2 linked regions of the Caenorhabditis elegans genome follow. The protein of the gene in region 2 purifies or fractionates together with the protein of the main gene of each other region. This does not show direct contact. Each region holds a gene or a part of one and is shown on either strand. Other genes may lie near its edges.

Evidence for each region. Proteins that work in one complex are often made in the same cells at the same time.
Region 1: the proteins of dhp-2 (region 2) and gdh-1 fractionate together in Caenorhabditis elegans (co-fractionation; one large-scale study listed by BioGRID). This does not show direct contact.

What each region holds. Positions count from the first base shown.
Region 1 is NC_003282.8:11,951,692-11,956,041, reverse strand, and holds gdh-1 (Glutamate dehydrogenase), read right to left. Parts: upstream 2,794-4,350; 5' UTR 2,791-2,793; coding exon 2,515-2,790; intron 2,468-2,514; coding exon 2,063-2,467; intron 2,018-2,062; coding exon 1,354-2,017; intron 1,094-1,353; coding exon 828-1,093; 3' UTR 501-827; downstream 1-500. Other genes in the region: tbx-36 (Putative T-box protein 36), read right to left, coding at 3,966-4,350.
Region 2 is NC_003282.8:9,976,231-9,981,312, reverse strand, and holds dhp-2 (Dihydropyrimidinase 2), read right to left. Parts: upstream 3,192-5,082; 5' UTR 3,128-3,191; coding exon 3,042-3,127; intron 2,993-3,041; coding exon 2,812-2,992; intron 2,768-2,811; coding exon 2,596-2,767; intron 2,548-2,595; coding exon 2,291-2,547; intron 2,245-2,290; coding exon 2,012-2,244; intron 1,286-2,011; coding exon 973-1,285; intron 925-972; coding exon 604-924; 3' UTR 538-603; downstream 1-537. Other genes in the region: rrp-1 (Ribosomal RNA processing protein 1 homolog), read left to right, coding at 1-166, 254-470; C47E12.14 (Salivary lipocalin), read left to right, coding at 4,929-5,063.

The DNA.
Region 1 (4,350 bases), 2.0 Mb from region 2:
CATTCCAAAATTTCTCTGTAACTGCAAAAATTCAAAAAAATCTCCAATTCTAAATATTTCCCTCAAACATTTGCGTACACTTCGAACCGAAATGGGGGATTCCCTCCAAACTGTCTTTATCATCTTTTATCATTTCTTCTTTTTGTCCAATCAGATTAGCTTCGTTCAAACGATCACCCAATTTAATCTTTCAACATTTCTTTTCATTCTCTCCAGGAATTGCATCAGTTTGACGACGAAGGTTTTGCCGGAAAAGATCAACTGATATGGAAACGGCCAAGCATCAACTTCGTTTAGACAATTCGAAAATTTTGCAACAATTGTGGAGGTGATTCCCAAATTTGAAGCTGATAGTGGCACACAATGTGAAAGTGATATGTTATCGAAAATTCTAAATTATAGTAAATAGAAAGACACAAGTCTGATAAAGTTTTTAATGCTCCCTGAAATTTCTTTTCCAATGATCATTGGAAAATTGCAATGACCATGTAGAAGTGTTTAAGGAAATAAACTTTTTATTATTTTTGAGATTTTTTTTTGAAGAATGGTCTCCGTCTCGAAACCGTCCCGAACCAACAAACAACGAAAAAATTATGTGTGGGGATGAAAAGGGGTGGGGAACCAATAAAATATTTAATTATACTAAAGTGAGAACGAACCAGGCAGAAAAGATCAGAGCTAGACTTTAGTTAACCTAGATAGTTTCGAAACAGAAAACTATGGAAAAGGCACTAAAGGGTTACACGAAGCTATTTAAACCTGGCTTGGAGCCATTTGATGTCATAAAAGAGGATACAAGAGCCATGAGATGAGTGAGAAGTGGGTACTTATGTGAAGGTGAATCCAGCGGTTCTGTAGGTGTTGTAGACCTTCTCGATGGAGTTGGCATAGGCAGCAGTACGGATATCAAGTCCAAGGTTGTACTTGTGAGCGGTGCGGATGATGGCTTCTCCGGAGCGTTGCATTGTGTACTCGAGTCCAGAGTGAACGATGTCTTTCTCGGAAGCTCCAGCGATCTTGGCAGCGAAAGCAGCATTTGGTTCAACTGGGCAATCCTTTCCGACGGCCTTGGAGAGAGATTCTTGGACCGAGGCTGAAAATTCAAACATTTTTAAACAGAAAGAATTGATTTACAATTTGTTTCCTAGAGTGCATACGTACTCATTTTCACGACAACGGTTGAGTGGCCTCCTCTCCCTCCTCATAAAATAAACGGAAAAGTGTGACAAGCGTAAGAGTATCTAGCCCTTGTTAGTTTCTAAACAAAATTTTATCACAGATGAAAACTTGCAAATCGTTTCATTGTGTTACTCTACGCAAGTCTAGGAATTCAAATTTCGAAAATTTACTTACCCAAAAGCATCTTGTTGGCTTCCTCGTCATATTTGAATGTAAGACGTCCGTAGGAAACATGGTTAAGATTCTTCAACCACTCGAAGTAGGAAACAGTAACTCCACCAGAGTTGACGTACATGTCTGGGATGATGAGGCAATCTCCACGAGCAAGAAGAATTCTGTCAGCAGCTGGGGTAGTTGGTCCGTTGGCAGCCTCGGCGATGATCTTAGCTTGAATGCGGCTAGCATTTTCCTTGTGGATCGACTTTTCGCAAGCAGCTGGAACGAAGATATCGCACTTCTCGTACATAAGCTCAGTGAATGGGTCGAAGTTCTTGGCTCCTGGGAAGTTCTTGATAGTTCCATTGGCGTCCTTCCAATCTTCGAGCTCCTTTGGATGAATACCATCTGGGTTGTAGACGGCGCAATCGTACTCCTGGATTCCGATGACCTTTGATCCAGCACGGTGGAGGTATCTGTGGGTGTGAAGTCCGACGTTTCCGAATCCTTGGATGATAGCAGTCTTTCCAGCGAGTCCGGTGTCAAGACCGACCATCTTCATGTAATCAGCATCGTTGGTGAACACCTCGAGTCCCTTCCACACTCCACGTCCGGTGGCGGAAACACGTCCGTGAATTCCTCCACTGACAATTGGCTTTCCTGTGATACAAGCCGAAGCATCCTGCAAACAAAATTATTCACATGCTCACAAAAAATTTATACTCACTCTGTCCAAATGTCCAATGGTTTGGGCGTAGGTATCAGCGATCCATCCCATTTCACGCTCTCCGGTTCCCATATCTGGGGCTGGGACATCAACTCCGGGGCCGAGGAATCCCTTCTTTGCGAATTCGATAGCGATACGGCGGGTGATCTTCTCAATTTCATAATCAGTGTATTGCTTTGGATCAATCTTGACTCCTCCCTTAGCTCCTCCGAATGGAACATCGACAACAGCGCACTTGTAAGTCATAAGAGCAGACAAAGCTTTGACCTCATCTTCGCACACATCGAGGGAATAACGGATACCTCCCTTGGTTGGAGTTCTGTGCTCAGAATGCTGTGCGCGCCAGGCCTCAATAACCTCGAACTCTCCATTGTCACGACGGATTGGGAAGGTGATGTAAAGGACCTGAAGAAAATAAAATATGATAAATTAATGAGACTCAAAATTCTTACCTTGTTAACTGGCTTGATAGCTCCAAGAATTCCGGACACGAGATTCTTCTTATCCTTTTGGCTCAAAGAGTTGGACTTGAGCTCCTCGGCGAGTTTTGGAGCGATGACCTCGGCTCCCTTGTTGAAGTAAAAGTCGACCATCTTGTAGAAAGATGGGTTGACCTGCTCCTCCATTGGCTTCTGCTCGTCGAGCACCTGGGAGTGGGCATCGAGAGTAGCGGCCGAATAGCTTCGGACAGCGACCGAGCGGGCGCCTCTGGAAAGAGTGCTCAACATTACCTGAAAATAAAATATTTTGTAATTAAAATTTAAACAAATAAGAGATTTTACATAAGAAGCCAAAGTGCAAAAAGGAGGAAAAGATCCGGGCGGAATCGAAAAGTAAGGAAAATGCCAGGAGGTCTCGTCACGAAATCCATGCGCCTTTAATAATTTTCAGCGGCAGTTTGAAATTATTTAAGTTATAGCTCGTTTAAAAATATTTAAATCAAAAAAAATTGGCAGAGGCATCAAAACCTTTTTTCCTAAAAAAAATGTGGCACCGCCCGCGAGTAGGCAAACGCTTCTAGGCCACGAAAAGCTCGTCCTGGGGACGCGGGCGCCATAACTATTCAAAACTAGAGGAGCCCAACACAAAACTGTTTACAGGACAACGCGCAACCATCATCGGTGGGCGAGACCGATGAAACTGCAAGCAAAAGATAGCGTTTCATGGAGGAGGAGGAGGAGGTGACTGGCAAATAGATATTTAGAGAAAGAGAGAAATAGAGGCAACATTCGGGGGAAAAATAGAGAAAAGATGCTCCGCCTATTTGAAGAAGGAAAAAAGAAGAGTGGGACGAGTGTCATTGATCTTCGCCCATATTGTGTGGTGCTATTGCATAGGACATACGATCTGCATAGCAACAAAACAAAAGAAGCAGGGTCAATCGACGTCATCTGAGAAAGAATCGAGACAGTGTCTCGCTAAATTCGCGTCAAAAATCTCATTCAACGAATTTTGAATACCAGTTTTGTTTTTGTTTCTCTTTCGATTTGTTTTACTGATCGACATCTTTGATTCTTCGTAAATAATCTTCAGAATAAGACAACCGATTTTTAAATTTTATTTCTCCCCCAGAGATTTGACAGAAATTTTTGAAGAATGTGGCTTTTTCGGTGGTCGCTTCCATAACCAAACATAGAGCATAAAATATTTTTAAAATGGAAAAAAAATAATTAAAAAATCCGAGCACCAAGACGCGCTACCATAAACTTTTTCTCCCGACGAGACCCATTGGAATGAATTCATGCGCCTTTAAGAACAAATTCTACACTTTTGATTTTATTTTCATTATTTATTGAAAAAATTTCAAGAATGATAAAACGTGAGCTTGTTAGTTGTGATAAAAAAGAAAAACAGGTTAGTAATTTGAAACCGGATAAATCTAGACATAAGCATAAATCGAAAGTTATAACCGATTGTATGACTGGAAATAGTTTTCATGAAATGAATTGTCATAATATTGCTGATTATAAAAATCATAATGGACTGTGGGCGAAGTTTGAAAACTAGGAGATAATTGGTCTGTTTGTGGAAAAGTATGAACCATCTGATATTCTTCTGGAGACGATGGGTAGAGAGAGTCATAAATAGAAGATGGTATTGATTGTGGAGAATTGTATTGATATTGATAAAGGTACGATGGTGACGAAGGTGATGATTCAAGCAAACTCATGATTCCCTTTTCAGCATTTTTTAGTTCCTTCTCATCTAGAGATTCGACAGGAAGTTTTGCTGGACGTTTCGAACGCTGGCACTTTGTTCCACTGATTTCATACTTTCTTTTTCTTGAG
Region 2 (5,082 bases):
TTAAGAAGTTCGATAAGAGTTCTCGTGGACAAGATCCATTACATTTCGAGACCCCAGTTCCAAAGGAGAGGTTGACAAGACATGATTATGAAGAAGCCGAGAAGAAGGCCATTGTGTTGGCCAACAGCTTCAAGCAAGAGAGAAAGTCGTCCAGAAAAGTTAAAAGGTACACTTATAGGCGTATTAAGCTGACGAATTTATTGTTAGATTTATCGTGAAATGTAAAAACTTTAAAAATAAAAATTTTTTAAAGCCAAATCAAAAAGCGAGCTCGTGAGGCTGCCGAAGCTGCACGGCAGGAGAACGGAGATGATGTTCCAGATGACGAAATCGCTGAAGTTAAAAAAGGAAATGGAAAGAAAACAGCAGTTCCTAAAGTGAAGAAAGGGCGCCCACTTTTGAAAGCTAAAGGAGTCGGAAAGAAGAGAATGGTCGGCGGCCTGAAAAGAAAAGCAGGAAAGAAAAATTAATCTGAATATCATTGTTGCTTGATTTGTTATGTTTTTGTTATAATTTCAATTTTTGATGCATTGTTACTTTTTGGAAGTGATTTTTTTATTGAATTTTTAAAAATAAAAAAAAAACAATTATTTACAAGTAGATTTAAAACTGAATGCTGCTAGCTCCTCCTGGAGGAATTGCTGCCCTGACTGGAGCTTTCACAACGATGTTCGCATTGGCATCAGGTGTCTGCAGTGCCGATGGCTCATATGGAATTCGGTCTATTTTCACAGGTTCCATAGCCTTCTTACGATTGTCAACAGCTGAGAAGACGATTTGAGAGTCTGGAGCCAAAGGAATGAATTGTCCTGAACCTTGAACAGTTTTCAGTTGACCATTTGCCCAAACAGTACGTCCTCGGGAAATTGTGATTTCTGGAACTCCGTGTACTTGCATTCCTTCGAAAATATTGAAGTCAATCGCCTTGAATTTTTTGCATTAAAATTGAATTTACTAAAACCTAAAACTCACATGATGATGTGTATCTTTTGAAATAGTTCTAGTTGCATTCGCATTCCAAATCACAATATCCGCGTCGGAGCCAACTGCGATTCTTCCCTTCTGTGGGTAACAATTGAAGATCTTAGCAGCCATTGTAGAAGTGACTGCCACAAATCTCATAGGATCAATGATTCCAGCATGAACTCCTTTATCCCAAACAACTGACATTCTGTCTTCAACTCCGTTTACTCCATTCGGAATTTTTGTGAAATCATCTTTACCAAGAGACTTTTGTTGACAATCAAATGTACAATTATCGGTGGCAGTGAGATGCAATTCTCCACTGAAAATTGTTTAGTCTCAAAATGTTGGGGGTTTTAATTGAAAATTTAAAGGTGAACTGTCTCTTTTGAAAATTTTATTCTAATTTCCACCGAATATGCTAGGAAAGTTTGAGTTATCGTAATTTCACGAGATTTCGACCTCTTCTTTGAAGGTACACGGGATTACTTCATTTTTAGCTAAAAACGATTTTAGTTTTAGCGAATTTTGTAGAAAATGGACAATAAAAGACTACCACAAACTTTTTTGCGCACCTAGACCCATCGTAATACATTCGTGTGTCTTTGGAAGGGCAAGTCAAAATATCGTGAAATTACAATAATATAATTAAAAATTCCGAGCAATCTGACAGTTGGGCTGGACTTACTCTGAATCTGTGCCTGCGGAAAATCCGCGCTGTTTCTTCCGTAAGTTTTTTACCCATCAAGTTCTAGAGTATGTGCCGCCCAATTTACGGTTTTTTAAAGGCTATTTTGAGTTGAATTTTTTTGATAAAAACGTTTTCCTTTTTGGTGTAAATCGCATTTTTGGCTAATTTGGAGGTAGTAAATATACACTTCAGTGCTGTGCGGCTCTTGAAAAAAGTCGGCTCTCGGCGCGCGCCGAGTCGGAAATTTTTTTCGGCTCTTGGCTCCGGCCAAGAGCCGAAAAAGCTCCAAAATGCCGGCTCTCGGCTCGCGCCGAGAGCCGCACGGCACTGATACACTTCCAAGAATTCTATACTTACGCAGCCAACAATTTCATCAATGCACTAGGTGTTGATGGATCACGAGAAAGTGGAGGAGACATGACATAACGAGCAGCATGAAGCCAATCTTCATTATAATAGTGACTTCCATCAGTGGCTAGTCCTGCAGCAATTGGTTCTCCAAACACAACAGCTCCCTTCTTTCTGTGATGAGCAATTGCAGCAGCTGCTCCTTTTGACATTACGTGAACTACGTACAATGGACAGTTTGCCTGAAATTTTCTCATTGAATATTTTAAATCTCACAATCCGAAATACCTGAGAAGCCATAGTACAGGCACGGAAAGTAGCTTCAGCTTCCAATTCTTCTGGGCGAGATTGAGTGTGTCCTTCTGGTCCAGTAATACCAGAAGAAAGAAGATGCTCACATCGTTCCGCAATGACGGATCCGTTTTCAGCATGAACACGAGCCAATGCACGTAACTTTGCGCATTGAATCATTCCTTGATAGAATTCTTCGTCACGAACCATAAAGACACCTGCGTACGCGAGGAAAAACTTGAAGGAATTGATTCCTAAAAGTTGATATAGACTAGGACTACTAAAACTAGAACTTGGTATACCATATTCAGCTCCAGTAACAATTTCCATTTCTTTGGCAATTTCAGGCCCCCAACTGGTAATTGCCATCGACAATCCATAGTCACAAACGACTTTTGGATCAGCCCACCCTCTCCAACGATCGTAAGCAACAAGGAGGGATTCGCCTTTTGTTGGAATTACAAAGTCAATAATCTGTAACCAAAAGTTGGAAACTTTTATTTCTTAATTTCAAATACCATAGTTGTACCACCAGCAACAGCAGCTTCCGTTCCCCTATGAAAATCATCCTTTGCAATTTCTCCCATGAATGGTAGCTGCATATGTGTATGTGGGTCAATGCCACCTGGAATAACAAGACGATCCGTTGCATCAACTACTTCAAGACCAGGAGTTGGTTGGATGGATGGAGCGATTTCCCTGAAATTCAAATTTTCCATTAAGATGCATGATTCAAAGTTGGACTCACACAATCCTTCCATCAAGGACCAGAACATCGGATTTGAAGATAGCATCATCATTGACAATGGTTCCATTTTTGATTAGAAGTGACATTTCTACAGAAAAAATTTGATTAAAATTAAATTTGAATCAACTAAAATGTTTTATTTATACCGATAAATGGATATCAAAAAGCGACGGTGGAATAGGGAGTGGGCGGAGATCAAGACAACGGATCAGTGGGAAACTAGGAAGAAGGCGTGATATTTTACAGAAACATTTTGAGGAATAAAATTGCTATTGCGGGATACATATTGTTTCATATACTTTAATTTTACTAATAAAAATGCTAATCCAACAAAATGAGCTTTCAATCAAGATATTCTTCAAGATATTCTCAATTTTGATTGAACAGAATAACAACAACAATATACAAAATAAAAGAGAGAAAGTATCTCATCAGAGGTGTGTATGCATCAACACCAGTTGTCTTTTCATAGCTCTTCTTCCCGTGAGCCCACCTCCCCGGCCTTCTGCTGGACAGCAGATGTAAAGGTTCCAAGTTGTAAAAATAAAGAAATGGTGCCATATAGTTTACAACCAGCACATTGCCCTAAAACCAAAAAACAACCGAAAATCAGATTTAGTTAGGAGGTGAGGCAGTCGTCTTTGGACCTGCGGAAAGGTTTGTTATTAGATCCAAGTCTCAGCGTTTGAAGATATCCAAAAACGGTTACGGTAGTTCAGCCTTCACAAAATTGTCTACAATCGATGCAGTTAGAATGATCAAAGTAACTTGTTTCATCTATACAGTTTAGCAATTGAGTTTTGTAAATCAAAAACTGTTCTACATACTTTAACCTCGGTTTAATTTAAATATTTTATAAAACTTTTCACTTTAAAAAAGAGCATAATACATACTGTTTTATCTCTGTAATTAATTAGCAAAGTTCGTGAATAAGCAAATTAACACGTAGATAACTTTTTTGGTAAGATATGGTTTTTGCATAATAAATACTAATTTCTTCATGATAAACTCTTGATTCCTGAACCTCCAAAGGTATATTATCGATAGATTAAAATATCAAATTTCAAGGACAACCTCGTCATTTATCACTTTACAGTTATTAGTGGGAATTCTCTTTTTCCTTTTCCCAGTTCTTCTTATCAATCTATCAATCAACGCACTTTGGTGGGCGGTCTTGATTTTAGTTATATCTAAAAGGATGTATAATTTTCTTGTATTGATACCTAGATCACAGAACGAACAAAAAGTTCCAAAAAATGAGAGGATGAATTCAATGAAATGATCATAAAATGGCCTTGAAATTGAAGTTCTAGACATTGAGATTTATTTAATAATTGATAAGGCATACTTTAAAAATCCTGCAGACTGGTTCTTTAATTTTCGAAAAGTCTCTACAAAACTTGTCTTCGGAAAAAGAAACTTAGAAAAATGAAGAGCAACTGTTGAAGTGATACCGCGTGGTTTACACTGAAGAAGACAGAAGATCATTCAAGCTCGTTGAGTGCTCTAATAGCATTCTATCAACAGGGGTCAAGGAAAATCTAACAAATCTGAAGTAAACGTAAATTTAAATTGGAAAGTTTCCAAAAATAAGGATCTTTTTAAATAAATAAAATTTGAATTACAGTTTAATCGATAGTCGAACTAGAACAACAATTGGGCATTTTTTTATATTTGTTTTTTCAGAGTATAGCCGCATTGAAGATATTTGTATAATTTCATTTTCAGATTCTAAAGTTAAACAATTTCAACGCTTTGATTACGTTTACCCATCACACTCTTTATTACTCATCCCAATAATCTTTAATCTATAGGTTGATCGCACAGAATGCGTTCCTGCATTGCCATGCATTTAAAGTTTGAACATGTTGTTGTAATTTGTTAGATATGACCAATTTGCAAACTATAAACTATATCACCATACTATTTTTCTGCCTTCTCGGGTATGAAGCTCGAGATCAAATTGCTTCAGCAGCTTTTCGTGCATCTTTTCCTTACGCAAATAAATCTGATGTCTGGAAGGTATGTTTTTTGTAGCATA